7 linked regions of the Canis lupus familiaris genome follow. The protein of the gene in region 6 interacts with the protein of the main gene of each other region in a pairwise test. Links are inferred from orthologs where the notes say so. Each region holds a gene or a part of one and is shown on either strand. Other genes may lie near its edges.

Region 1 (4,227 bases), on a different chromosome or scaffold from region 6:
CTGGCTATCCTGGTGAGTGGCTTACAGTTTACTCCAAGGTCTTGTTCCCTGCTGAGCCGTGTGCCTGGCACTTAGCGGGCCTGCAAGAACAGGGGCTGCCCCGCTGCAAACAGGACGCTGCCACATTGGCAATTCTAGACCCTGGCCCATGGGGAGGAGTAGGTAAGGCCAGGGCAAGAGGGGCTGGACTTGTCCTCACGTGCTGGCTAGAGGGCTGAGGCTGGGGGATGGATGAGATGACTTCTGCACACCCCAAGACGCCCCCCTCCTTCACAAGAAGCCTTGGCCCCTCCGTGCCACCCCTGTCACCCAGGCTCCAGGCCACTTCCCCTTCTCAATGCTGGGCAGCCTCTGTTCACCCCCCTCTCACCCCTGCCAGGCACAGTTGAGGCCAACTTCCCTATGAGCTGGGAGCAGGACTCTGAGGGGAACCCCTTCCATCCTAGAGCCGCCTCGCAGGCTGCACTCAGAATCTAGGACCACCACCCTACCTGAATGAGTCCACCTCTGAGCAGGCAGCCTCTGGCTCCACCTTCCATAGCCCAAGCTTCCTTCTGCCACCTAACCCACCCACTCTGCTGTCCCCCATCATTCAACCTTCAGAAGACAGTGCATCTAGGTTTTAGGAATCTGAGGCTCAAAACAGGAGTCACAAGTCACATTTCAGAAAAATACAAGGAAACAAATACTAGTGCTGGGAAAGGTTACCTGAGATCCTCTGAGGCATAACCCTCCGCCCAGCCCAAACAAGTCTGCCCTGCACCCATCCCCCACACTGGCCTTTGTCCCTGCTGCTGGTCCTGCCCTCTCCCCATCAAGTCTGGCTTATTCCTACTCCACCTTTGGACTCAGTTTAAGCAACACCTCCTCTAGGAACCTTCTGGATGCCTGAAGGAACCCTTCCCAGCATTGGCTTCTATTATTGCTGGTCAGCCCTTGGGGATCTGGTGGGACCAGAGCCTGCTGGGAGAAATTGCACAATCTGCTCAGCTGAGGAAGCCCTGTGTTCTCATCTCTGAAATGGGGAAGCACTCCTGCCTGAAGTCTTGAGGTCTAGGGTGGACGGAGGCTTTCCATTACTACCACACCTGCACAAGTTCCCTTTAGACAGAGGCACACAGGAAGTGGCCTGCTGTGTGACCTTGGCTACTTAGGAGACAGGCTCTCCTGCCTTGATGCCTTCTCTTTAGACTTCCTGCTCTAGAAGGATCTTGGGAGGTTTGGCCCAGTGCCTGGAACATGGTTAAGTGCTGGATCAAGCATTTGTGTTATTCTGTTCATGATCATATCCAAAATACACAGCTCAAAAGGCTTCTGTGGGTGTGGCTGGCTGTCACTTTAGAGAAGTGGTTGGGTTTCCAAAATAACCAGACGGGGAAGTTGAGAAATCCCCAGAGGTTGAGAAATCCCCCCAAAGTCCTGACAGCTTTGCCCCCCTTTCTACTCACTCTTGGTGATCCACTGCCCAGTTGTCCCAGGAAAGCACTAAGACATGTCCTGTCTTCTGCCCACCTGTGTTTCAAGTCTCTGGACACAGGGCCGGGAGACCCCACCCGAGAAGACTGACCACAGCAGGTACCGGGGCAGTGGAAACGCGGCAGCCAGGCTGCTGCAGAGGGCGCCGCTCCACACAAGGTGGGGGGAACCTGAGTGTACCGGGGAACAACGGTGGGCACCGCCCAACAGTGCCCTGTCCCAGGAGCCTGGCACCCTGTTGGGACACTCGACTGCTGCGTGGCCTGGGGCAGCCTGCGGCCCCACCGGAAGCTATAAAGTGGGCACCATGTCCCTGGTCCCTTTCCTCTCTCCTCTCTGGGTCCTCTGGGGGGGGGGGGGTATGGCAGGTCATCTGGAGGGGCCCCCTTTGACATCCAAGGCGCAGCGCCCCTGTGGTGGCGCCTTCTAAGCAGATTCACAGCCCGTCGGTTGTGGAATCCTAAGCGGGTGCTGCCGCCACTCGAGGGGACCCGGAGCCAGCACACCCCGCCCGCGATGCAGGCGAGCGGGGGCGGACGGGGGCAGGGGCAGGGGGCGGACCCACGGACGCGCCTCCAACTTGCGGGGTGAGTGCGGACCAAGGTTCTTCTCGGCGGCCGCCTTCGGGGTCGCGGCAGCAGAGAACCAACCTGCCGGGAAACTCCCGCCCCTTGCCCCGGCTCCCCGGCCCCCTGGGCCCCAGCCTCCGGCCCCGGGTCCTTGCGGGCGGATCCCTGTGCCTGGGGCGCGGCGCATGTGCGGAGCGGAGCGCGTGCGCGAGGCGGGGCGCAGGCGGGGCGCATGCGTGGGGCGGGACGCGCGTGCGCACTGGCTGCATTGCTGCTCGGCGGGCCGGCGCCGCGGTCCCGGCGGCCGTGGGGCGGGGGGGGCGGCCATGGGGCCGGGGGCGGCCGCGGCGCCGGGGGCCGGCTAGCGACCGCAAGCGGCGGCGGGGCGGCGGGGCCCGCGGACTCGGTCCGGAGAAAGGACGGCCCCGCAGGCGCCCGGGGCAGCGAACGGTGAGTGCGCGCGGCCCCTCGGCCCGGCCCTCCGCCCGCGGTCGCCGCCGCCCGGGGGCCGGGGCCGGTCCCAGGGGCGCGGGGTCGGGGGCTGGGACGGCCCTGCCCGCCTCCCGGGTGTGGGCCGGGGGGCGCGACCACCGACCTCACCTGCGGCGGTAGCCTCCCGAGTCCGCGGGCTAGCGGGCCCCCGGGGGCAGGTCGAGGTTGTCAGGGGGCGACCGGCAGCGGCGGCCGCGGGAGTCTCGGGCCGCGGCCGCCCCAAAAGGACGGGTGTCCTGGGCTTTGGTTCCGAGTAACAGGTTACTTTTCCTTGCCCATCCTGGGCCGCCGTCGGCCTTCCCTGAACACTTGCCAGTCCGTCCTGGGTGGCGTCCCAGCTCGGAGAGACGGGGGTTGTTTTCCGTCTTTCGGGACGACGCCCTTGAGGGACTCGTTCCCCGGAGTTCTGTCCCCGGGGCCCTGTGTAAGCGGGCACAGCGAGCCCTTCCCTCATCCTGACCTTTGCCCCCGCCCCCGGGGACTTGAGGGCAGGTGCACGTGCAGCCTGGAGATGAGCCCCCGCGATGGTTCTGACTTGTGGGCAGGTCTGCGCTGCCAGGGACCCCGGAGCCCCGCGTGCTTCTACCTGACGGTGGAGGGTCGCCGTTGGGGGGTACGGGTCTCCTCCGTAGAGGAGAGAAAACCGCATTCGATTTTATTGAGTTTCCCACTTAAGGAAAGGTAGGTGTAACCTGCAGAATGGAGAGGCAGATGTGTTTTGATGGTAGGTGATTGCTCCGCATCACAGGACACAGGATGTCCCTAGGCACGGATGTTAGGGAGGGAGCTGGAGGAGCTTCAGGAGGCGGTGTGCAGGGGACTGTGCACTCCTACCTGCGGGGCCTCCTGCAGCCCTCACTGCCTCCTGTGTACACCTGTTGACAGGTGCTGCTGCTTTGGCCGGCCCTGGGCTAGTGGGGGTCACCTTGTACCCCACCATCTCATTTCTGTTTGTGCTGGTGGCTTAACCATTTGCAATACCTCCCAGACCCACGATTGTCAGGCTCCTACGTTTAACACGTGGGAACAGGTAAACACTTGTTTGGACAGTCAGCAGAAAGTATTGAGAGAAACACAGTGAAGGAGGCAGCTCACACTGCAGCAGGGGAAGGGCTGGGATGACACCAGTCTTCATTCATACAACACACCTTGTTTTCCTTACCTGCTCAAGGAAGGGTGTGGCCACTTCTCCCTAACAGCCCCCTCAGGTCTTCTGTTCACTTTATGGGGTTGCAGGTCAGGCTCCTGGTTTACGTTGCCAGCATGGTTTCCAAAAGATCTTCCTTGGTTCATATGCTGCCAGTGCAGATGCCCAGTTTTATCATGTCCTTGCCAGCTTTGAGCAATATTGGTGGGGGAAGAAGGGAAGGGCTATGGATTTGTTTCGCACCTCAGTGTCAACTAGTGAGGTTCAATGTTTTCGTGTCTCTGCCACCAAATAAACTTTCCTTTCTCATTTAGTATCTTCAACAAATACAGATTGAGAGCTCACAGTGGATGTCATGTGCATCATATCTAGTCTGTGGGCATGTGTACGACTTGTGTCCTGGTGTCTCACTGCCATTTCAGTGTGTCCCCTCCCTACCATGTGTGAGTTCTAGGAAATGTTGCCCAACACTTTTCTCCTAATGAAACTTCCCAATACCAAAGTTGTTTTTTGGGGGTTGGGGCGCCTGGCTGGCTCATTCGG
Region 2 (4,217 bases), on a different chromosome or scaffold from region 6:
AGAGCTCTTTCATTCATAGAATATTTATGAAGCACTCTTTTGAGCCAGGCACGAGGCTAGGCCCCAGGAATACAAGAGGGAACGAAGACATATATGGTCCCTGCCCTCCGGACCTTATGTTTACTAGAGCAAATAGACAATGGGAAAAAATAAGTAAATAATGAAAGAAGTACAGATTATACTGATGTGATTAGAAAAGGCTATTGTGCTAGAAAACGGTGGTGAGGCATCTCCCATCAGGTGGGAGCTGTTTAAAGGCAGGGAAGAGAGTATAAAGGGTATAATCCATAACCTCATCCCGAGGAATTCCAACATTTGAAAGGAGCCAATAAAAAGCTGCAGAGGCGGGGCCTGTAAGGCACAGCAGGAAAGTCTTATCTTCCTCAGCAAAACCCTATCTTTTTTTTCTTTTTCCTCAGCAAAACCCTTTTTTTTCCTTTTTCCTCAGCAAAACCCTTTTTTTTCTTTTTCCTCAGCAAAACCCTATCTTTTTTGTTTTTTCCTCAGCAAAACCCTATCTTTTTTGTCTTTTTCCTCAGCAAAACCTTTTTTTCTTTTTCCTCAGCAAAACCCTTTTTTTTCCTCAGCAAAACCCTATCTTTTTTTCTTTTTCCTCAGCAAAACCCTTTTTTCCTTTTCCTCAGCAAAACCCTTTTTTGTTTTTCTTCAGCAAAACCCTTTTTTTTTCCTCAGCAAAACCCTTTTTTTCTTTTTCCTCAGCAAAACCCTATCTTTTTTGTTTTTCCTCAGCAAAACCCTATCTTTTTTTTCTTTTTCCTCAGCAAAACCCTATTTTTTTTTCTTTTTCCTCAGCAAAACCTTTTTTTTTCTCAGCAAAACCCTATTTTTTTTTTTTTGTCATTTTTCTAAAACTGCACCACAGTTTGCATTTATTTTGACAAGCTGCGTGACATTCTTGGTTTTCAGATGTTTGCAGCAGTTCTGGAAATAACTGGACGCTCATCCTCGAAAACCCAATTTACGATTACCTAGAAAGCCATTTACACATCCCTCCGGTGAGTTATTCCAGGGTAGCCGCGATCTCTGTTGGAAGCATAGCCACTGGGGGGTCCCCCTCCCCATCTCTGCTCCTCTGGGGCGTAGGAAGCGGCGCTGGCAACCGAGTTAGCCGTCCTGGGGTCGTCGCGAGGCGCGGCCCCCGCCCTCCTTCACGGGGTAACCGACACGCCGCGCGCGGCGACTGCACCCGCCCCGCGAGGCGGCTCCGTGCGCTTAGCACCTGAGGAGCCACGGCCGCCGGCGGCGCCGCCCCAGGTCACGCAGCAGCGCGCAGGGGCCAGGCCCCGGGAAATCCCGGGCCGCAAATCGACGCGGGCCGCGGGCGCGAGGCAGACGTACGCCGCGCCCGGGGCGCCGGGGCCTGCGTGCGCTCCTCGTCACACGGCGGCGTGACTGCTTCCGAGGTCATCCCAGCCGGACGCGACCTCAGGGTGCAGGCCCGGCGCGCCAGCCGCGGCCGACGACCAGCCGGCGCCCGAACCTCGGGGCATGACTCCCCTCTGCCCTCGCCCCGCGCTCGGCTCTCTCTCCTCCACGTCCTGGCTCCGCTCCGTGTTTAAGGACGCGCGCGGCGCCGCGCCCAGAGGAGAAGCCGCGGGGCCGCTCTTCCGACCGCTGTCCAGCACCCGCAGGCCGAGCCGGGGCGGCTGCCGCGCCAGTAACGTCGGGCGCCTGGCGGAGCGCGGGGAGGCTGGGAGCGCGGCCGCCGCCCCCCGGGCCGCCCGGGCAGTGGGCGCCGGGAGGCCGCCCCTCCCCCCCGCCCCGGCTCCGGGCGCTGCGGCCCCTGGGAGGGCGCGCAGCCCCTGCGCGTGCGCGTGCGCGTGCGCGCCTCCATTAGGGCCCCCAGTGGGAGGGGCGGTTGCGTTCTCTTGTGGGACCCAGAGGCCCCCGAGGCTGGCCGCGCTCGGCTTGGTGCTGTGCCCTGAGTTGCAAAAGCTTGGAAAGGCGCAGTGGTTTCCCATATCCCAAACCCGCTTCGCAAGAAGGGTTTCCAGCCCCAAATTTGAACGTCGCCTCCCCTCTCAGCCGGGACAGTGGGCTCGTCCGGGGCGGTGGGCGGGGCGAGTGGTTGCTGGCGGGAGATTTAAAATTCTGGCGGGCGCGCTCGTCCTGGGGTCACTCGTTCCACTGCTGCTCTCTTTTCTCCCGTTCTGCCCCGCCATGCCCTGCTCTGAAGCGACACCTGCCATCTCCCCCAGCAAGCGGGCCCGGCCTGCGGAGGACGGCATGCGGCTGCGCTTCGTCCGGCTCTCAGAGCACGCCACCGCCCCGACCAAGGGGTCCCCGCGGGCCGCGGGCTACGACCTGTACAGGTGAGTGGGGACTTGGGCCGCCTTCTGCCCGCGCCATCCCCACCCCACGAGAGAAGGGCCAGCTCTGCAGTTCTACAACTCCCAGTCACGTTAGCCTATATTCTTGCCATCTGCTGCCACGGTGAACCTTTCACTTAAAAGATTGCAGAAACAGGGCCGCAGGATGGCTCAGTCGGTTAAGCGTCTGTCTTGGCTCAGGTCAGCATCCCAGGGTCCTGAGGTCCAGCCCACTGCGGGCTCCTTGCTCAGCGGGGAATCTGCTTCGCCCTCCCCCTCTGCCCTTCCCCCTGCCCGAGCATGCTCTCTCTCTCTCTTTCTCTCGCAAATAAACATCTTAAAAAAAAAAAAAAGATTACAGGGCAGCCCGGGTGGCTCGGGTGTGCAGCCCCGGGTGTGACCTGGACACCCGGGATCGAGTCCACATCAGGCTCCCTGCATGGAGCCTGCTTCTCCCTCTCCCTTGTCTCTGCCTCTCTCTCTCTCTGTCTCTCATGAATAAACAAAATCTTTAAAAAAAATAAATGAAAATTTAAAGAAAGATTACATAAGCAAACTCTTTTTGCATATATGTAGGGTTTCTGACTTTTTCTAATGCTGAAAATGTTAGCTTTCCTCTTTAGCATAAATTCAATCAGGATTTGGGACAAGCGTGCAGAATGATAACTATATATATATAGTTTATATATAAACCTCCACCAAAGCATTATTTGTTTTGTAGCATTTATCTATCGTACCCATTCCTAAGTGGAAGGTAATGATGAACAAGGTCTGACGTGGCTTTTAAGGCGTGGCCTGAGGGTGATGCACTGCACCAAAGAGAGAAGCCACGGGGAAGTCTAGGTGCTGAATGTGAAAATAGCTGGGGAGGATTAATGAAGGGTGCTTCTGCCTCAAAGGAATTGTGAAATTTCTCTATATGTCCATATTCAAGTTCACCCCAAGGACTGGGGATGTTAGAAACGGCAGGAATATGAAATGCAGCGTGAATATCAGTAATCTTACTATGCTTCCGTTTGTTCAGTACTTTTTACCTCTACTAAAAACTGTATTTGTGTGGTTTTATTTAATCCTGACAACAGTCCTGAAGTAGATAAGTGCTACTTACTTTTTACAGGTGAGGGAGTTTGTGAAGAGCTGAGTTTATTGCCTGAGGGTTTGAATGTAATAAAATTTTTGACTCTTAATTTAGTGCTTTTTTTTTTTTTTTCCCCTTGACTACTGTGTCAGGTCTTAGAAACATTAAGGTAGGTGACCAGTGATACTAGGGGGAATGAATGCGTGTTTATACATTACTAAATCCTTAGGATTTATTTTTTTTTAAGATTTTATTTATTTATTCACGAGAGACACACACACACACACACACACACACACACATACAGAGAGGCAGAGGCACAGGCAGAGGGAGAAGCAGGCTCCATGCAGGGAGCCCGACATGGGACTCGATCCTGGTCTCAAGGTGGCGCTAAACCGCTGAGCCACTCGGGCTGCCCCTTAGAATTTACTTTAAAGCATCCCAGGTAATTCTAATGTGAGAACTATTGATCGGAGTCCTAGGGAGTATAGGAGAAGGGTAGAAAGAAGTGTGTGATGATAGTAATGAAGACAGGAAAGAAAAAGAAAAATGAGGTATGGTCTGTTATCGCTGAAAAGGATGTATTCAGTCCCTTCGTTTTCATGAATAAAAGTGGAGTGATGTCTGGGCATTGCTGTGAGTCATACGAGAGACTTAGATTTAAGATACTTAGAATGTCTTCCTCGTGGGGCAGCCCCGGTGGCTCAGTGGTTTAGCGCCACCTTTGGCCCAGGGCGTGATCCTGGGGTCCTGGGATCGAGTCCCATGTCAGGCTCCTTGCACGGAGCCTGCTTCTCCCTCTGCCTGTG
Region 3 (3,433 bases), on a different chromosome or scaffold from region 6:
TATCGTGGAGGCTCACTACCGGGCCTGCTTGTATGCTGGCATCAAGATTGCTGGGACAAACGCTGAGGTCATGCCTGCCCAGGTAAGTGACTTGTTCATCTGTAGGACCTATGGGCAAGTGGGGACTTTTGCCAGCACCCTCGTTTGCCTAAAACTTAAGCGGGATTGGAATAGAGGTGAGAAAAAAGCACGGTTAAGAGCTTCTGAACCGGGGTAAGAAGTTGGCATTATTGTAAAGGCCAACTGTGTTGTTCTCTCTAGTGGGAATTCCAGATAGGACCCTGTGAAGGAATCGACATGGGAGATCATCTCTGGGTGGCCCGTTTCATCTTGCATCGTGTATGTGAAGACTTCGGAGTGATAGCAACCTTTGATCCTAAGCCCATTCCCGGAAACTGGAATGGTGCAGGCTGCCACACCAACTTCAGCACCAAGGCCATGCGAGAGGAGAATGGTCTAAAGTAAGTGCTTTCTCTTGATGGGGCCATCTTTTCCTTGCTCGCGTACTTGCCAAGGGTCTGATGTGTTGGGGCTAAATGAGCCAGACTTCTCCATGTGGACTTGAGCTTTTAGCACTTGGCTTTACAAGTGGTTTTCTAATTCTGTCATTTCATTCCTATTTGAAAAGTACCAAAAAATACTCTAGGAATCGAATCCAAGGGTAGCGATTGGAAAAGGGGGGACCTAATTTAATTAATGGGTTTGAAAGTCTTCAATAGGAAATAACTTAGTAACAATAAAAAGCATGTGAATGAACTTAATGCTTAGGGGTGGGGGAAGGTCTTTGATAAGGATCTTTTCCTTTAACAAATACCATGTAGTGAGTGTCCAGCACCATCCTGAGGCACTGGGTGGGATGCACAGGTAAGAAGGCAGAGTTACTGCCCTGGTGGAATGTTTGATCTGTGGGGACCATGTTTTGGTGAATTGTAAGCAGTCGTTGATAGAGGAGCCCCTCCATTCTTAGATCCATACCTGGCCCCCTGCCGTTGAAGGGCAGATTTCCTGGTGGCAGGTTGGACCCCACCATCTTCTCCATTTACCCTAGGTACATTGAGGAGTCCATTGAAAAACTGAGCAAGCGGCACCAGTACCACATCCGAGCCTACGATCCCAAGGGAGGCCTGGATAATGCCCGGCGCCTAACTGGATTCCATGAGACATCCAACATCAACGACTTTTCTGCCGGCGTGGCCAACCGTGGTGCTAGCATCCGCATTCCCCGGACTGTCGGCCAGGAGAAGAAGGGTTACTTTGAAGACCGTCGCCCCTCTGCCAACTGCGACCCCTTTTCGGTGACAGAAGCCCTCATCCGCACATGTCTTCTCAACGAAACTGGCGATGAACCCTTCCAGTACAAAAACTAAGCGGACTAGACTTACAGCCATCGAACCCCTCCTAATTAATTCTCCATCCTGCCTCCGTGTTTGCCCCTCTCTTGACTGTCCTAATAGCAGTAACTCAAAGGGCGGAATATCAAGGTCTTTTTTTATTCCTCATGCCCAGTTAATATCTCTTGCTTTCTTTGGCCAGGATAGAGGGGTCAAGTTCTTAATCTTTTTACACCCCCCCCCCTTTTTTTTCCCTGTCACTGAAAGCTGTCTAGTATGTTAGTAGGGAGGGGGGTAGGGAGACATAACCACTGTTCCCATTTAATCAGGTGTGTTTGTCCAATAGGCGTAGCTATCCGGACAGAGAATAGTGTTTGTGAAGGGAGGGGGAGGGCTCTTTTCTTCGAGGTAGCTGAGTGTTGAGGGTGGGGAGGGTTACTTACTCTGGGGTTAGGTTAGGATTTCCCCTCCTGGTGGGAAGTTCCACTTCGAATAAGGTTATAACCAACTTTCTATTAAAAAAGTGAGACTTATGAGAGAATCAGGCGGGAATGTGCCTCCCGTCCTCCTGGTGCAGGGCTTCCCCTATCTGGGGCGAGATAGCCCTCACCTGAAGACAAGCTCAGTGTAAGGATGGATTGACCTACCTTAGCAGAAAAAGTTCTTATTGCTTGGTCCTCCATTTATAACACAAAGCAGAGTAGTATTTTTATATTTAAATGTAAAAACAAAAAAAATTATATATATGGGTGTGCAGATATGTGTGGTTTTTTTCCTAAAGGAGGAAAAACATTCTGGTCACGGAGAGCCAGATTTGAGGTGAATAGTCTGGAAATAAGGATCTCCTACTGAGTGGAGACTTGGTATTCCCTCACTGCCACTATAGGGCTCCCATGTGCCCTGCCCACTCTTCTGCAATTGAGGGTAGACACCGGTCGGTTGACAGGTTGACAGGTGGAAAGCACGTTGTAGAAGGAGGAGTCACCTGAGCCCCGTGGCTTTGGTTTAAAAGACACACATGTACACACAGAGGTTTAGAAATAAAGAGTTGGCTGGTCAACTTGCATGTTACTGACAAGGGGTTATTGGGATTATTTTCTGATGGGACTAGCATGTCACTAAAGCAGGCCTTTTGATATATTAAAATTTTTTAAAAAGCAAAACAGAAGTTTAGATTTTAATCCTGTTGTAGGGTTCTTCTGAGTCTTCGTTGTTACAGAATCACCCGTTTGCTTTGGCTGTCTCCTTCCTATCTCTGCTCTTATGAGGACATGGGGACAGCCCTGGAGTCAGAACACTTGTCATTTTGTATCCTGGTGTCTATTCTGAGTGTGAGATGCTCCTTTCCATTGTTAAGATTCCTGAGGCGTTACTTTTTCTTTTATAATAAAATGCAAACCCCATCTTCATCCCTATGTTTTCCTGGCTGTGTCTGGCTGTTTTCATGTTGGCTGCAGCCGGCCGGCGGTGGCTTCCTCTTGCCATGACGACTTCTAATTGCCATGCACAGTATGTTCAGTTAGATAGCTCTTCATTGTAAACAAACTGTTAACTGCCCAGCGCAGCTCTTATAAATCAACCTAACATTTATAAGATCTCTTCCGACTCGATTCTTTGTGTTTCTTTTTAAATCCCTGCGTGCCTTTTCATTCTTTTTCCTACCAAAAAAGGGGATTTTTTTTTTTTAAAGAGACAAGCTCAAATTCACTCACTCTAGGAATTTTTAAAACTCTGTCTTAAGTCATGTTGCCAACCAGCTCGCTTTTGTACTTTGAGTGTTTGGAGTCTCAGGATGAAGGCATATCCCAGCCCTAGAGTTTTGGAGGATGGTACAAACCCTAGCCCTCTCCTCATGTGCTCCAGAGCTTGGTTTTGACTTATGATTCTATAACATCGTCTTAAGCACCCTTTTTAGTTTTATAGCAGCCTGAAATGGTTAATGTGTTATCAAGGGCTCTCACCATCCCTACTGGTCTTGATTTCATCCTTACCCACCACCCCCGAGGTGTTGCACCTCTTGGCCCTGCGGCGACCCTGATTGAAGCCTTCCGAGGCTGGCTGGGTCAGAGCCAGCTAGCCCAGATATGCCCTGGACATTGCTC
Region 4 (3,938 bases), on a different chromosome or scaffold from region 6:
ACAGAGATAGAGGGGCAGAGACTTAAGCAGAGGGAGAGAGGGGCAGAGACTTAAGCAGAGGGAGAAGCAGGCTCCACGCAGGGAGCCCGATGCAGGACTCGATCCCGGGACTCCAGGATCACGCCCTGGGGCAAAGGCAGGCGCTAAACCGCTGAGCCACCCAGGGATCCCTCTCTCTTTTTTTCTAGCCCCAGGAACACCACCCCTTATTTGCCGACAGCCGAAGGTCACCGGGAGCGAGTCCTCAGCCTCTCTCATGCTCTGGCTACTGAGGCGTCGCAGTGGCACAGATTGATGACAGGTGAGGGGCTGGGGGACCTTGGACTCCTGGGTTTTAGGGAAGAGGGAGCCAGAGCCTGGAGTCCTTGCTGGTCGGAGGAGTGTGAGAGCTGCTGGGAATCCTATGTCTGGATGAGAAGAGTGCCGTAGAGGGCTTGGGAGTTCCAGATCCCAGGCAGGAGGGGACAGGGGTTCAAGACTCCTGGGTCAGGGGGGCGGGGGAAGGGAGTGGGGCCAGACCTGTGGGTCTGAGGGAGGATGGGACTGGGGGCTCGACTCCTCGGTCTGAGAGGAAAGGGGTCCCCAAGTTTGCCATTCTCACTTCCCACTCGTGCTGTCTAGGTGGAAACTTGGACTCCCGAGGAGACCCTCTTCCCCCTGCGCCGCCGCCTCCGTCAGACCCCACCCCCCAGGGGACCTCGCCCCCGAGATCTCCAGTGGCTAATTCCCACTCAGCCGGGTTCTCCCGCGGAGGTGGGGAGCGCGGCGCAGGCCCCGCCTCCTGGGAGCCCACGTGGGAATCCGGGACCGCCCCCCCGGCCCTGACCCAGGAGGAGGGGGCGTGGCCTCTGCGAGTCACGCTGCTGCAGTCCAGCTTCTGACCCGCCCCAGCGCCGCAGCCAATCGGAGCGGGAGGGGCGTGACCCGGGGGTACCGCCCCGAGACGGGAGCCGCTCTCGGCGCCGGGGGGCGTGATCTGGTCCCCGCGGTGGCCTAGGGTGGGAGACGTTTCCAGGGCCAAAGTTTGGTTTTCCCAACACTTGTCCAAATTCGGATTAAAACTTTGAACTTTTAGTCAATAAATTTCTGTCTGTTTGGGGTTGTGACACTGGGGTCTCTTCAGGGCGGAGCTGGAGCCGTGGCCTCCTGCGTCCTGACGGTCTGAAACCTGTAGGTCTGGAAAAGGAGAAGCAGGGCCTAGATTCCTGGGTCTGAGGGAGGAGGGGGTTGGATGCCATAAATCCTGAGTTTGAGGAAGGAGGGGATTGGGGGCCCAGACTCCTGGGTCCGAGAGTGGAGGGGCTGGGGACCCGGACTCCTGGGCCTGAGGGTCTGAGAGTAGAGGGGCTGGGGGCCTGGGCTCCTAGGTCTGACGGAGGAGGGGCTGGTTGCCTGGGCTCCTGAGTCTGAGGGAGGAGGAGCTGAGGCCCCAGACAACTGGGTCTGAGGGAGGAGGGGGCGGGGGCAAACTTCCAGGCTTCTGGCCTTCCTGGCAACGCCCCCCCAGGGCCGGCCTTCCAGGATCCAGCCCCTATTTATGGTTCTGCTCCACGGCCTCACTGGACTGTGGAGGTGGAAAGAAGCAGAGTGAGTGACAGGGAGAGTCAGACAGAAGCAGGATGGCAACAGGGACGCGCTATGCCGGGAAGGTGGTGGTTGTGACAGGAGGCGGGCGCGGCATTGGAGCCGGGATCGCGAGAGCCTTCGGTGAGTAGGGGTCTGGCGAGTCAGGGTCTGGCTACTTGGGGAATATTAGAGATTGGGAGCGGAGGGACCCTGGGAACTAGTGGGTGTGGGAACTTCAGTACTGGAGTCAAGATTCTTAGCCTATAAAAACCCAATTTGCAATGTTAATGAAAGGGTTGACAGCCTAAGCCTGGGGCCTGAGCTTTTGGCAGTTCTCCAAAAATGGTTACTCTCTTTTTCTGGGTCTCAGTTATTCTATCTACAAAGTGGGGGTGGCTGGGGGAATGTGGCTTGCAGGTTTCGGGTTTATTCTGGAACCCAGGGATGGGGGCTCAGGAACCCCAGCAGGCACCTACAGTGGCCAAGGAGAATATGGGTCAAGTCTTCTGCCCTTTGCTCTAGAGGAACATCATGGGACTTTGGGGTCATGAGGGGAACGTTTGGAAAGATGGGCCCCACTCCAGGTGGCCACAGGAGGGCAGCAGAGGCCTTTGCCAAGATCTGTGCTGGAGTAACCTGTTTTTCCATTCTCAGTGCAAAACGGGGCCCAAGTGGTTATCTGTGACAAAGATGGTGAGTGAGCGTCCCTTGGTCCTCACCCCAGCCCCCTCCTCCCTCACACCCAGGAGTCTGGGCCCCCAGGCCCTTTCCTCTCTCAGACCCAAGAATCAGGACCCCAGCCCCTCCTCCCTCAGACCTAGGAGTCTGGACCCCAGCCCTTCTCTCCCTGCAGAGTCTGGGGGCCGGGCCCTGGAGCAGGAGCTTACTGGAACTGTCTTTATCCTCTGTGATGTGACCCGGGAGAAAGATGTGCAGGTGAGCTATTCTTGACCCTGTCTGGCCCCAAAGACTGCTGCTCCGGACTTTCCCTGATTCTGCTGGCCAGGTTCTGGGTCTCCTGCAAAGTTTCTCCTTTATCTCTCACTATGGAGCTCTTGTCACACCTGTCACATAGACTGGAACAACAACAACAAAAATCCCTCACAGTGGATCTCCTTCTGGAAGAGTCTTCCTCTCCCGCCTCTGGGATTCTATCCGTTCACTTCGGTCAATGTCTCTCTGATGTCCACCCTCTGCCCCCCACCCGGACACCAGGTCTCTGCAGTGTGAATATATCCAGCCCTCTGGTGATTTAGGGGAAGCCCCCACTTCCTGTAGCTCCCTTCACCTTGGCTGTGATCCACCTCCCCCTTTGCTTTTTTTTTTTTTTTTCCCCTTTGCTTTTGGGAGTCCAGGATCCTCAAGGCTGGGTGCCAGCCCTGCTCACTTACCTCTTTGTCCTCAGACTCTCATTTCTGAGACTGTCCGTCGTTTTGGCCGTCTGGATTGTGTAGTCAACAACGCTGGCTACCGTGAGTTGTGTGGCCCACAGGCCATTCTCCCTTGGTGTCCACCCACCTCCCCGCTTCCATCCCTTCCTTTCCCTCCCCCTCAGTTCCCCATCTGTCTTCTCCATCCCCTTTCCCATCCCCCTGTCTCCTTGGATGGGACAGTACAGCCCTGGAAGGCCCTGCACTGGGGCTCACATCCTGGCTGGTTCCATCCTGGCCTCAGTTCTTCTGTTTCTAGAATGGGAATGATGATCATGAACAACAGAGTTGTTGTGGGTATTAAATAAGATAAACTACTCGGCCTCATAATTATCACAAATATCTTGAAGAAACAGCTCCCATCTTGTGGTCTCAATTTGCTTATCTATGAAGTGATGGCAATGACCCTTCCCTTTGCTGATGACTATGAAGGTATCCTCATGAGTGTGGTTTTTTAGGTCCTCTTCAAGGTCCCCTTTGAAGGGGAAATGCTGTCAGTTTAACGACTTACCCTTCATAAGAATCTCTCATGTTGGTAAGCCAGGGCTCAGAGAGATGAACTGATTGCACTGAGGTCACACAGCAAGGCCTGTCATAAGAGTGACATCCTCTTCAGCTGCACAACGTGCCCCCCTGCTTATTGTTGGCTTTTTTTAAGATTTTATTTATTTATTCATGAGAGACACAGAGAGGGAGAGGCAGAGACACAGGCAGAGGGAGAAGCAGGCTCCATGCAGGGAGCCTGATGGGGGACTCCATCCCGGGTCACGCCCTGGGCTGAAGGCAGCGCTAAACCGCTGAGCCACCCAGGCTGCACAACCCTCCCACCCCCTCCACCGCTGCGTATTGGCTGGGCAACTTTAAGCAAGTGGCTCACCCTCTCTGGGCTGCATTTTCCTCCTTATATTGTTGTAAAGATCAAAGAGATGGCTAATACCAGTT
Region 5 (3,500 bases), on a different chromosome or scaffold from region 6:
TTTTCCCATCCTCTAAAGCTTGACTTTGAACTATAGCAATCCACCCTAAAGGACAGAGAAGGCTGGGACTCTGGGAGCATGAGCCACACTAGCCCACACTAAGAAGTTCACTCAGTTATGCTCTAATGAAAGAAGGAGGTTCCTCCTTTTCCTTTTCACAGAGCTTGTTCCTTTGTCCTCTTTCAGCTTAAATTCTTTCTACAGATTCATCCCAGATGAGAAAAAGATTGTTTTTGGATAATAAGCATCTCTGCTATCAAAAAAATATAAGAAGAGATGAAGACTTTTACCTCAAAACAGAATCACTGCAGTGCATTCCAGACCAGCCTTCAGCAAAGCAAACCCTTGTGCAAGGCCACTGCAGCCCCTAGTTTGCCCACAGGCATAGAGGACACTTGAAAGCTCATAAAAGGAACCCTGACCTGAACAGAAGACTACATTTGATAATGGGAACAATATATTTCTCCACTGATATATAATACTGTGTAATGCACGGAAAAATTCAGGATGGACTTTGGAGTAAGAGCACAATTTGTAACATAACATCATTTTTGGATCACCTCTTCCCATCACCCTTGCTCCACTCTGAGACTCTTCACCACCCTGGTGTAGCCAATACATACTGAGGATGAAACAAGACAAGGAAACAGTGTCACAAGCCACGTTGGAGCCATCTGCATGCAGTTCAGCCCAGCTTTACCCTTACTTTCTTTCAATACAGACTCCATTACAATTTGAACCATCTGCAAAGAGTGCAAACAAAACTAAGAAGTATCTCTCTATGATTAAAATATTTTAAAGTCTTCAGAAACTTTCCAGATGTACCTTTGATGGAGCTCCCCACCCACCACTAGAACCCATCCTCTGCTCCTGTGAGTCCTGCCAGACTTGTTTAATGGATGCTCAGTTTTGGTTTTCCTCCTTATTCTTCTTCCTCTTCCTCTTCCTCATCATCATCTTCATCATGGCAGTGTGTAATTTCCTGGGGGGCCAGTGGGAAGAGGTTGGGGGGTTTAATCTCACTAATCGACCGGGTCAACTGGTGCCGCTTATAGTCGGTATCTTTGAAATCAACTGATGTGCGGTTCCGGGTGGCAAGAGGGGACTCCATCTCATTGATATCTACATGTGTGTGTTCCACCGTTGATTCATGAGGCATCTAAAACAAAGTCAGAGATTCAGAAAGCAAGTGGAGTAAAACAGTTTTCCAAATCCTAATCTCTTATCCCGCTTAAGGTGGCTGTGCAGAGACATGTCTACAATGGATCAGAGGCCCAGCCAATTTAGATACTGAAATAATGTCTTTCTAGAACTACCTAAAGCTATCTTTTTCTTTCTCTTCTTCAAAACTGTCCAAATCATTCAGCTGCGAACTAGAAAAGATGAGGGAGAAAGATTCTTATTTCGCAGCAAAAACCAGTCCTGAACTATAGGTCAGTATCAGAACATAGCACTAAATGAGAGAAATACGGTTTTTATGCTTACAAAGAGGAAAGTCTTCGTTACTCAAACAACGTTTAATATACATTTCAGGGTAAACCTATACCCTATAACATTTGATCTTGATCCTGCTTTCTCAAAGACCCCTTTTTGTGCAACCATGCAACCTGCTTGTGGGCTTTTGCACATTAGAAAGACTGAAACTCTCTTGTACCACCCTATAAACCTGGTTGCAGATCTCAGCCTTACAGAATATATCTTAATTGAAAATAGTAGCATAAGACTGTATTAACTCACCAAGACATGAGCAGCTCTGAAGAGGTAGCTGAATGGATAATACAGCAGGTTGATGAAAGATGCTGCATAGAGATCAGCATATCGCATCACCTGACTGGCAAAGAGGGTCTGTCGGGAGCCACTGCGAAACAGGCTTCCCATCATCCCATAGCACATGTCCATGTCATGAGTTACTTTCTAAAACAGAAAAGATTGAATTCAAATAGTTATTGACTGCTGACTATACACCAATCCCTATATAATAGAAGAAATAAAAAAAATCACAACTTGATCTTCCAAGTTTTCTCCCAAATCCCATTTGGATACCTTAATACGTCTCTGAATGGAACTAATGTCTGGGCGCTCATTGCTGCTGCTGTCAAGATGCCTAGAAACAAAAGAAAACACCACTGAAAATCTCTAGAAAAGATGTCTCTTACACCCCTAGGTGATTCCCAAAGAGGTAGATGGTTTTTAGGGAAGAAATTTTTCTTTTGAGAATCCAGAAACTTACTTGTAGAGTTCAGCCAAGAAAATATCCAAGCTCTGAAGCTCTTCGAAAAGTGCTAAAGTTCAGAAGGGAAAGAAAAATGTTTTTTAAAAAACATTCAGTTTAAAAAATATAAAATAAAATAAAAAATAAAAAGCATTCAGTTTTTAACTGCTGCTGGAACTAATTAGAAGGTTGTAGACATGGTTGAAAAGTAAAGCTACAGGTAAGTGTACAAAACGACTTCCTTCTCCAGTGTTAGGAAAACCCACTCCTGGCCTGCTTGAGATCTAGCAGCAGATGAAAGTCATGGTTTCTTCCTTAACTGCTTTTCTTCCTACCTGAATGCCACTCACTACAACTCTCCCTTCCAAATGGATGCTGACTCTGAGCTTACAAATCAACTAGATTTATAGAATCCCCTTGGTGAAAGGCTGAAAATGGGGATGAAGGGCTGGCTAGAAAATACCGCCAAGGACGAGCAACAGCTAGGATCTGTTGCATGCTTTAAAAGTGTTCCATCTTTCTCGACCTGGCTTTCCCAAAAAGAATTTAGCCCTAATGGATCTGTTGTGTGTAACAAGTTTTATTTATTTTGGGGAAAACTGAAAACACAAATCAATTTCTCTGTTCTGTGGGTCAGATGAGGTGCCATGACTGAGAAACGTTGTTTACTTGTAACTTTTTTGTACATATATTACACCGCAGTTAAGTCTCAATGAAGTATGTTATTATCCTCATTTTCAAATTTGAGGAAACAGGTGTCCCAGTAACTTCTAAGGGCATGAAGATATTAAGTAGAAGAGCTGGGTTAAGTACCTGAAGCAGTACCTTTCCCCACACTGTGGGTAATGCTAGCAAGGACTGGCTGGAGAACTTACGTGTCAAACAACTTTATGTAACTGGACCTACATATGGCTCAATTCAGCGTACAGTTCAGAGAATACAATTTGGCCTCATTCTCTACTTCTCAGAAGAGCAGGGGGAAAAAAATAGGACATATGACTACTCAGAGCCATCAATGCCCTCAAATCACAGATATAGGCTCATGGCAGAGAAACTGAAACTAGTAGGTATGGTTGGAAAATACGGGACTACAGAGAAATGTGGAATTCAGTTTAGTTGCTACAATAATATAACTTAGGATAGCAACATTCTGTGCTTAACCCTGAAGGAAGTCAAGAAGTCTGAACAAGATAACCTCTACTATTTTCTCAAATTTTGGAGTTCTGTACCTTACCTGGCTAGAAGAAAGCTATCTAAATATCTTAGGACCACCTCTGTCCCCCGCTTT
Region 6 (4,250 bases):
GCTATGGTGGATGGCAGGAAGCCTGCCCACCCAGGTCACTTGCTGTCTGGGAAGAGCTGGGAGGGTGTGGTGGGTCAAGGGAGGAGCTTCCTTCTTGATGCAGTCCCCTGCTTCCTGCTCACTTCCTCCCCACAGACACATTTAGGAAGGAAGGCAAAGCAAGTACCACCTATTTACTCAGCAAGGGGCCCACTCCCTTGGAATGACCCCCCCCATTCCCACCCCCACCCCGCACCCAGTCTGTGTTCTAAGTGCCTAAGAACCTGGAACCCGGATGTAGGCCTTTACTGAGGGGAGCATGGAAAATGATAAGTAGATGCCATCTCAGGTTCAGAAAGTTCTCTCCTCCCCTTAGGGAGTAGTGCCCTCATCATGCCCACAGAGTAATTAGATCCTTGAGCTCTGAACTCCTTGTTTGGTTAAAGTCACTGTCCTTTTGGTGCAGCGTAGGGACCTGTTCCACAGAAAAGGAAATTACCCTGAGAACTAAGAGAATCACCTGCTCCCAATGCAACAAGACTTCTGACTGCCAACCTCCTGCCTCCCTTAGGAAGGCAGAGCCACGGTAGGGGGTGGGGCACAGGTGCCCGGCTCCTTGCACCACGATGGCACCTTCCTATCTGTTGACTGGGACGACCGATGATTCCTGAAGCCTCTGTAAGAGCTGGCTTTGTAGGTCTTCCTCCATCACCTTCCACCAAAAAAAGTTCTCACCCCGAACTTTTGGGGGCTCACTCTGCATGCCTGGGTTCCGAAAAGCCACAGTCACCAGCACATTCAAGCAGATGCCATCTGCGTGGTCCTTGCCCAGGTGCTGCAGTCCAAGCAACCCCTTGGTCTCCACTGCCAAATGGTGCAGGGTCAGACATTCCTGTAGCAGCCGCAGGATGGCCATCTTGATGCCACCCCTTTGCTCCATGGGACTGAAGCCGCAGGCAGTGATGGGCAAGTGAGGCATCCCCTCTGTGCCCACCAGCACCCACACTGTCTGGACACTGGTAAAAGTGGCCACGAGTCGCTGGCAGACCAGACTGCAGGGAAGCTCCTGGGGCAGAAGAAGAGGGTGCCTGGCTTGCTGGCGGTACCGGGCAGCTAGCTCTACCAGGTGCAGAATGTCCTGGGCTCGCAGCGGGGTGGGCAGGGAGCTTCGTGGGTACCAGCCAGCCTGCAGGGACTCTGCATCTGCCTCCTTGGAAGTCTTGAGAATTCCACCTGGAGGAGATGTCGAGGATGGGGTGGGAGAAAGGGTCTCTGTTGAGAGAAGTGCTGGGTCCGGCAGAGTAAATGGTCACCCAAGGATCCTAACCCTGACCCAGGGTAATGGGATTGGTGGGGGCTGGGATCTGGAGATGCCAGGCTTGTCCTGGACAGAATAGGGGCTCATCGCACCAGAGGACAAGCTGAGGGGAAAGGTGTCAACTGCCCCCTGACAAACACTGCCACCAGGTGGGCCATACCTGTGGCTTGAGCGAGGAACACAAAGCGGATCCAGGATGGGCCCCGCTCCTCCACAGAAAGCAATGTCAGGGGCTCACAGTACAGCCCGGCCTCCTCCTTCACCTCCCGCTGCAGGGCCTCCACGATGGTCTCCCCAGGCTCCATTCTCCCCGCGGGTAGGTACCATGATCCACGGCACTCTTTCTTGGCCTCCTGGATCAGTAGAACCTCATCCTGAGGGGAGAGAGAGGATCCTCACCCCCACCACAGCTCCGCTGCAAACCTGCCCTTGCCCCGGGGGTGAGATCCTATCTCAAACACAGCCACCCAACACCCCCTTACTGGTGCACACCTCAAACCGTTGAGCTCTCCAGGGGACTGGCCCTTGTGTGCCTGGGGGCCTGCAGCTGTCTGTAATTTACCCTTCTTTGCATTCAGACTTCTGTTTCGGAAAGGGGTGAAGATTCTTGGGAGCTGTTTCAGGGGCTGGGGATTAGGCCCCACAGGGAGCTTTGCCATGTGTCCTGCACTGATTCCCGTCTATATGCCATGGGTCTCTGTAGTTCTCTCATCTCCCCTGGTGATTTACCAACTGCTTGTGGCAGGGCCTCCCACTGGGGCCTAGGCTTTGAAATACCCACCCCCCAAGCCCATACAACTCCTACCTATGGCCCTGGCCCCTTCTAGCTGTCATGGCAGCAACTTGTACAAGGATCAGCAGAAAAGAGCAGTGCACAGTGGGACAGGAGGCCCGAGTACAAGTGCAGGTCATGCCATTACTGTTCGTGGGACCCAGAGGAGGTCTCTGAGGCACTGGGCACATCTTTGAGCACACTAGGGGCAGGCACTGTGCTCGATTCTGGGGAAAGAAGAGGAACAAGGCAGGCCTCCTCTCGAGACACTGAGGCCTACTGGGAGGGAAGAAACAGGCTCCGGGCCTCAGATTCCTCTTCTGTATAGACGGATCAGCTCAGGGCTGGGCCGCACAAGGCTCAAGGCTCGGATGCAAGTGTGAGTGAGAGTGCTTTGCAAAACTGGGGAGCACCACGCACTAGGAAGCGGTGGCTCCTGCCGGGAGGTCCTCCGTCCCCACCGGGGCTGGCTGCGCTCACCTGCTCGTTGAGGAACACGGCCAGCACCACGTAGCAGACGTTCTTCCGCAGCCGCACCGGCGCCGGGGGCTCCCCGGCCGGCTCCGAATCATAGCCGTGCACGCTCACCCCCTGGCCCCCCAGCAGCGCCGCCAGCACCCTCGCCAGGCCCTCCGAGGCCATCGGGTCCCCCGGGGCCGGAGGACGGAGAGCGGCCGCAGTGAGCAGGCCGGGACGCCGGCGAGGCTGCGGTCGGGCGCCCTCGCCCCCTCCCCCTGCCGACCCGGGCCCGGCGCTCGCGAACGCGGAAGCGCCCGAGGAGCCCTGCCCGCTGATTGGCTAGGCGTCACCGCGGCCTGCGCGGATTGGCTGGCTCGCGTCGGTCATCGCGGGGCGGGGCGGGGCGGGGCGGGGCCGGCCCGGGAGCCCGCTAGGAGCCGGGTAGGACCCGGGCCTGGGGCGGGAGCCGCGCCTGGGCGCTGGGCGCCGCCGCCGGGCTTCTGCGTCTCCATCAGTTACCCCTCGCCTCCCTCCGCGCATCTCCAGTCGCCAGCCTCTCTAACTCCTCCAGCAAGCGCTTGTCGGCGCGGGTTCCGACGATGACGTCATCCAGCCTGCGGGCTGCGGAGCGCCACAGGAGCCGGCGACGGTGACGTCACAACAAGCCAGATGACGTCACGGAGGCCGGAGGGTGGGGGAGGGGGCCGCGGCTTGGACCCACCGTTCTTACGCCTGCCTACCGTGGCGTTGCCCAAATTGATCACTTCCCAGATAACCTTATTTCTTCACTAAAAATGTACCGCATGTCTCCACGGCAGGGGGAGCATTAGCTCCTGCCTTGGAGGGGATTCTGACCCTGGGGAGGTGGACATAGACATATAATGAAAAGTCCCTCAAGGGTTATAAGCCAAGTGCTAAATGATTGGGTTGGGCAAGAGGTGTGACAGGTGCTCAGAGGAGGGAGGGAGCAGGGCTGGGGTGGTCAAGGTGTGGTTGGCGGTGGGAGGAGGGGGTTTGGGGCAGAAAGAGGGCCTGTAATCAGCCAGCCCAACCTTCATCGGTGTCCTGGCCCCTTGCCCGCTGCATGTCCCACGCAGTTTTAGGGCCCTCTCCACTGCAGACTGAGAGCCCTGGGAGGGCAGGGACCAGGTCTTGCTCCTTCGGCTTTGTTCCCCGCACACAGAGCTCACAAGGCCTGGTGGCCTGGCGCTCTGAGAGCAGGGTGTGGGTTGTTTTGGCGAGTTCCTACTTCTCTCCCAGACTGACCTTTCCTCCTCAGAGCTTCCTTTAACCTACTCTTAGGACAGGAAGGCAGGGCCAGCTGGAGTGAAACTATAAAGGCAGCCGAATCAGAGCTCCTCATCCCCAGTTAGGTCTCCCCTTTCCCTCCTGCCAGCTTCCTTTTGGGAACGTGCTGATAAAGTACTGGACTTGGAACCAGATGTCCAGCCGCAGCTCACTGGCTGGCCCTGTGCCCCTGGATGAGTCGTGGGTCTTAGTTTCCTCATCTGTAGAGTAGGCTCATAATAGCCCTTCTTCCACAGGGTTGTCAGGGAGGTGAACCGTCCTGGGAGGAGCTCTGTAGACTGTTGTACAGGTCATCATGACCAGGCAGCCCAGCCCTCAGGGTGAGCCCTCCTGGCCACAGCACTTGTTGCCGCCACACAAAGGCCCACTGTCATGAAATATGCCTACAGGACCACCACAGAGCTGTAGTCTCTC
Region 7 (3,991 bases), on a different chromosome or scaffold from region 6:
TTTGCAGGGACCGCGACAGTGCGCTCCCTCTCCCGCCTGCACCGCTCTCAGGGGTTCCTCCGGCTCGCAGGTCCCCTCCTCCAGGTGCGCACCCGGACTTACTCCCCTGCCCCCCCCCCCCCCCCCCCCCGGCCCGGCTGCCTCTCACCTGCGCTGCGGATGCGCTGGGAGCCGGCGCCGGTCACGCCAGGAGGGTCCCCCCCCCCGCCCCGGGGCGTCCTCCCACCTCCACCGCCGGTTGCCCGCGCGCGCCCGCCCCGAGGCCACGCAGCCCGAGCCGGGAGCGGAGCCGCGATCCTACCCGCTCCACATCCCGGCGCCGCCGCCCGTCAGCGCCCGCCCGCGGCCCCGGGCACCCAGTCCCCCGACCCGGCAGGTCACGTGGCCGAGGGGTGGCCCGAGGACACGTGCCCGGCCCCGCCCTCCGCCGGCCGCGCGCCCCGGGACGGGTGACGGCGGAGCAGGGGAGGAGCCCGCGGGCGGCGCGTCCTGCGGCCCCGCCCCGGAGTCGCCTGGGTCCCCTGCCGCCCCCGCACCCTTTCCCGCCTTTGCCCAGCATCTACGGGGGGGGGGGGGGGATGCACCCCGGGGTGCACCCCCACCACGCACAGCGCACAGCGGTCTGGTTTTAGGTCCTCTGCAAAACCTCTCCCTGCAGCCCAGACCACTCGTCTTCCGGTCCCTCCACCCCTCTGCCTCCGGCCCTGAGCCCGGACTGCGGGCCTCGTCTTCAGCCTGGGGCGGGATCCAAGGAGTTTAGCTCCTTTTACCTTCCGCCAGGGACCGTGGCTCGCACCCTCTGTGTCTAGAGAGGCCTAGGAGGCCAGGAGAAAGAAGGTGCGCCCCTTCCAGATGCTACCAGAACTCAGGACACGACTCTTCCAGGTCCACAGAGCTGGGACCCCAGGCTTGAATTTGTCAGGTCGTCACTGGGGACACGCATTTGTTTCATTCATCCTTTTTTTGTTGTTGTTGGTTCGGTCATCCATTCATCCGTCCCTCCGGAGCACAAACTATGGACCATCAAAAGCCTGGGGACCCAAAGGGAAACTGCACAGACACATGCCCTGTCATCCTGGGGTTCCAATGTGCTAAGGAGGTGGGGGTGGGAGACACTCGCAAGGGCTTCCACTTCCAGGGCCACCCTGGACACACTCTGCTAAGTGCACGTGTCTTTGTCAAAAATGTAAGATGGTCCTGCCTTCCTAGATGAGCATAGCCCATGCCAAGGTGTAGGACTTGGTGAGTGGAGGATAGGCTACATGGATTTCATGCTTTGCTAACTCACTCACTGCACAAGGTGCCAGCAACCTGAGCAGCCCACTGTGACATCCCTTCTGACTTACCAGAATCATTCTGCCCAGACCTCCAATGCCCTTCACTCCACAGGGCAATTGTTTCTCAGACTGTGGTTTCCCAAGGGCAGGGGCCATCTCAGTGCAGTGGGGCTCTCTACCTATCCCAGCCTAGTCCAGGGTCTGGCCCAAAGCAGATGTCATTGTGTTTGACTTGAATCCTATACCATCTAAGTCTTGAGCAACAGCTAGCTTCCTGGCCCTTGCTCTGTTCATTATTTAGGGGAAGGGGAGAAGAAAAGGAGCTCAGGACAGGGCCCTCACCCTCCAAGACTTCACAAGCCGGGGCAGGAGATAAGATTGGTCCAAGTCATGGTAACCCAGACTGGTGGGAGATAAGGCATGGAGGGGGTGTCAGCCCAGGCGAAGGCCCCAGAGGAAGAGTCCTTAGCAGGATAGGGGAGGGCCAGTGGGCTGTGGGAGGCCCTTAAGTGAGGCCTCCAAGGACAAATGTGGGGTCACCACTCTGGGAATGCTGTCATCCCAGTTACTACCTAAAAATATCACATCATCTATACATCCAGTGACCTTCAATTCCCAGGCCTCACTAGCTCCTCCCACAGCCCAGTGAGCTCTACTCAGCTGAGAAGGATGGGCTCAGAGAAGTTCAGGAACTCACCCCATGTCACACAGCCAGGGGCGGTGAGGCTGTGACCCCTCCTTACACTAATTTTCTAAATAGCCCAGAAACTAGAGAACTCACTTGAAGCTGCAGCAGTATGCTGTCAGGCAAAAAGGGAAGCTTCCTAGGGGCCTGGCCAACAGGTGGGGAGGGAGAAGTAAAAGGTCAAGGCCTCAAACCATGGTCCTACTCCACCCTCCCCATATTCCCCCTCCCCACCTGACAGCCTTGACCACAGAGCCTTGGCTGGAGGCAGATGAGGAACAGGAAACTGCCAGCCTGGATGACCCGGGCCCCAATTCTGACTTCAGTCTCTCCTCGGCTAACCGTATGACTCAGGGTATTTGTCTTGCCATCTCTCATCCTCAGACTCTGTGTCTGTACCACACCAAGTTAGACAACAGGGTCCACTCCTCAACACTGACCTTGTAGGAGGCTCATCAAATTCCTCAGAGTTCTCTGTCCGTCCCCTGTCCCAAGCCTGGCTTCTTCCTCCCTCCTCCCCCAATGTCTCTCCAGAGTGGCAAGACTCCCCACCTGCCAACCCCTCCTCTGTGCCCCAGGTCACTGGCTCACCTGTCTGTGTCCCAGGGCTCCTCTTCCAAGTTACCCTCTGGTGCGGGGCCCAGAACCGATGGGGCGTAGCGGACAGCCCCTGAGCTCAGTGCCAGGAACACGGGGCATGATCCTCGGGCAGGGCACCTGCTGTGCTCCTTGGGGTCATCCATGCTGGGACCAGCCCAAGGGTCCCTCTGGAGACCGCCAGGCAGGCAGGTGGCAGAAGCCTTCTCCCCGACCCTGCGCAGAGCCTCACGCTAACCTTTGCTATCTCTGAGGAGCAGCAGTCTGGGAGAAAGGCCCCTCCCAGCAAGCCTCTATCTCCTGAAGCCCCATAATTATTAACTCCTATGGCTCAGCGGGCAGCAGAAGGTGCTGGGGCCCTTCTCCCTGGGTGCCCGGCCAGGGAAGGTGAGACTCCCTGAGACCCCCAGCTTCCACGAGGCCCGAAGGAGGAACTGCCTGTCCCCTGCCTGGCCAGGTTGGCCGGTTGGAAAGATCCAGCACAGACACTATCACTAGCTGGTTGTGTGGCTTTGGGCGAGCACCTCTGCCTGCTCCAGGCCCCATCCTTGGCCTCAATAACCCCTTAAAGCTTGTAACCACCAATAAAAAGGCACAATTCAGTGTAGCAGTTAAGAACACAGGCCCGGTGTCACATGGGCTGGATTCTACCCCACTCCAGACTATGAGCCTTCGGGCATGTCACTCTCTCTGTGACTCAGTTTCCCAACTATAATAAGGAAATCTCACCCTCTAAGGCACACCAGGCCAGCTGCCACTGCCCAGACATGCCCTACACCACGCCTTTCCTCACACAACGCCCTCTGCGCATGTCCTACCCCCTGCAGATAAATCTTTTTTGTTTATACCACCCCTTCGCCAGGAAGCCTTCTCCCCTGAGGACTGTTTTCCCCCCATAGCACAGGGGTGAAGGCCTCAGGCACATATCCACCTGCGTCATGACGGAGTAGACCTATTTGACACCCCCACAAGAACTGAGTGACCCTGTGGGCGGAGGCTGGCCCACACTGACCTCCAAATCCTCAGCACCCCCTTATCTGGGACGCGGTCAGCATCAGTCCACCGGGATGGTTTGAACGTTCCACCCTGCTTCATTTGGCTTGAAAACTCATCCTAGCTCTGCTGGTCTATGGCTGTGTGACCTGAGGCAAGTCCCTTCACTTCCCTGGGACTCAGTTTCCTCATCTGTAAAAGGGGACCAACTGTCTTCAATGAAGTTGTACTGGGGAAGGATCTGCCACGCTTGACATGAGTGTTCTCTGGCTTTCTCCCTCCCTTTCCCTCTTCTTTCCTGTCAGCCTCCGACCTCCCGAGGGGGGAGAAGCTGCCAGTTCCTGCAGAGCAGTCACACCCCCGCCAGCCTTACCCTGCGGATAACAATATCTCCCACTCAGGCTCCGGGCTTCCAAGCTCTCAGCCTAATGCAAACCAG

What was found.
Region 1: the proteins of NUDT18 (region 6) and NADK interact in a two-hybrid assay, tested with the Homo sapiens proteins (2 studies listed by BioGRID and IntAct). The two-hybrid records come from large-scale screens. The link is inferred for Canis lupus familiaris from reciprocal best matches to the Homo sapiens genes NUDT18 and NADK.
Region 2: the proteins of NUDT18 (region 6) and DUT interact in binary tests that used the Homo sapiens proteins (3 or more experiments, as listed by UniProt). The two-hybrid records come from large-scale screens. The link is inferred for Canis lupus familiaris from reciprocal best matches to the Homo sapiens genes NUDT18 and DUT.
Region 3: the proteins of NUDT18 (region 6) and GLUL interact in a two-hybrid assay, tested with the Homo sapiens proteins (2 studies listed by BioGRID and IntAct). The two-hybrid records come from large-scale screens. The link is inferred for Canis lupus familiaris from reciprocal best matches to the Homo sapiens genes NUDT18 and GLUL.
Region 4: the proteins of NUDT18 (region 6) and HSD17B14 interact in binary tests that used the Homo sapiens proteins (3 or more experiments, as listed by UniProt). The two-hybrid records come from large-scale screens. The link is inferred for Canis lupus familiaris from reciprocal best matches to the Homo sapiens genes NUDT18 and HSD17B14.
Region 5: the proteins of NUDT18 (region 6) and NT5C2 interact in binary tests that used the Homo sapiens proteins (3 or more experiments, as listed by UniProt). The two-hybrid records come from large-scale screens. The link is inferred for Canis lupus familiaris from reciprocal best matches to the Homo sapiens genes NUDT18 and NT5C2.
Region 7: the proteins of NUDT18 (region 6) and RAB3IL1 interact in binary tests that used the Homo sapiens proteins (3 or more experiments, as listed by UniProt). The two-hybrid records come from large-scale screens. The link is inferred for Canis lupus familiaris from reciprocal best matches to the Homo sapiens genes NUDT18 and RAB3IL1.

What each region holds. Positions count from the first base shown.
Region 1 is NC_049226.1:57,246,770-57,250,996, reverse strand, and holds the start of NADK (NAD kinase), read left to right. Parts: upstream 1-1,427; 5' UTR 1,428-1,492; coding exon 1,493-1,575; intron 1,576-2,386; exon of another isoform or gene 2,387-2,495; intron 2,496-4,227.
Region 2 is NC_049251.1:14,855,282-14,859,498, forward strand, and holds the start of DUT (deoxyuridine 5'-triphosphate nucleotidohydrolase, mitochondrial), read left to right. Parts: upstream 1-1,417; 5' UTR 1,418-1,509; coding exon 1,510-1,678; intron 1,679-2,197; coding exon 2,198-2,333; intron 2,334-4,217. UniProt on the Homo sapiens protein: Catalyzes the cleavage of 2'-deoxyuridine 5'-triphosphate (dUTP) into 2'-deoxyuridine 5'-monophosphate (dUMP) and inorganic pyrophosphate and through its action efficiently prevents uracil misincorporation into DNA and at the same time provides dUMP, the substrate for de novo thymidylate biosynthesis.
Region 3 is NC_049228.1:15,608,790-15,612,222, reverse strand, and holds the end of GLUL (glutamine synthetase), read left to right. Parts: coding exon 1-82; intron 83-261; coding exon 262-461; intron 462-1,048; coding exon 1,049-1,367; 3' UTR 1,368-2,933; downstream 2,934-3,433. UniProt on the Homo sapiens protein: Glutamine synthetase that catalyzes the ATP-dependent conversion of glutamate and ammonia to glutamine.
Region 4 is NC_049222.1:108,190,964-108,194,901, forward strand, and holds the start of HSD17B14 (17-beta-hydroxysteroid dehydrogenase 14), read left to right. Parts: upstream 1-1,138; 5' UTR 1,139-1,170; intron 1,171-1,507; 5' UTR 1,508-1,619; coding exon 1,620-1,707; intron 1,708-2,220; coding exon 2,221-2,259; intron 2,260-2,419; coding exon 2,420-2,502; intron 2,503-2,971; coding exon 2,972-3,038; intron 3,039-3,938. Other genes in the region: PLEKHA4 (pleckstrin homology domain-containing family A member 4), read left to right, coding at 189-301, 622-881. UniProt on the Homo sapiens protein: Catalyzes the NAD(+)-dependent oxidation of L-fucose, yielding L-fucono-1,5-lactone, which rapidly converts spontaneously to L-fucone-1,4-lactone. Can also act on D-arabinose and L-galactose, with lower catalytic efficiency. Does not use NADPH.
Region 5 is NC_049249.1:15,716,918-15,720,417, forward strand, and holds part of NT5C2 (cytosolic purine 5'-nucleotidase), read right to left. Parts: intron 2,283-3,500; coding exon 2,231-2,282; intron 2,105-2,230; coding exon 2,044-2,104; intron 1,915-2,043; coding exon 1,738-1,914; intron 1,160-1,737; coding exon 923-1,159; 3' UTR 1-922. UniProt on the Homo sapiens protein: Broad specificity cytosolic 5'-nucleotidase that catalyzes the dephosphorylation of 6-hydroxypurine nucleoside 5'-monophosphates.
Region 6 is NC_049246.1:35,306,235-35,310,484, reverse strand, and holds the start of NUDT18 (8-oxo-dGDP phosphatase NUDT18), read right to left. Parts: upstream 2,801-4,250; 5' UTR 2,712-2,800; coding exon 2,550-2,711; intron 1,672-2,549; coding exon 1,458-1,671; intron 1,213-1,457; coding exon 617-1,212; 3' UTR 1-616. UniProt on the Homo sapiens protein: Mediates the hydrolysis of oxidized nucleoside diphosphate derivatives. Hydrolyzes 8-oxo-7,8-dihydroguanine (8-oxo-Gua)-containing deoxyribo- and ribonucleoside diphosphates to the monophosphates. Hydrolyzes 8-oxo-dGDP and 8-oxo-GDP with the same efficiencies.
Region 7 is NC_049239.1:55,107,790-55,111,780, reverse strand, and holds the start of RAB3IL1 (guanine nucleotide exchange factor for Rab-3A), read right to left. Parts: upstream 2,801-3,991; 5' UTR 2,706-2,800; coding exon 2,554-2,705; intron 403-2,553; exon of another isoform or gene 313-402; coding exon of another isoform or gene 302-312; intron 202-301; exon of another isoform or gene 149-201; intron 1-148. UniProt on the Homo sapiens protein: Guanine nucleotide exchange factor (GEF) which may activate RAB3A, a GTPase that regulates synaptic vesicle exocytosis. Promotes the exchange of GDP to GTP, converting inactive GDP-bound Rab proteins into their active GTP-bound form.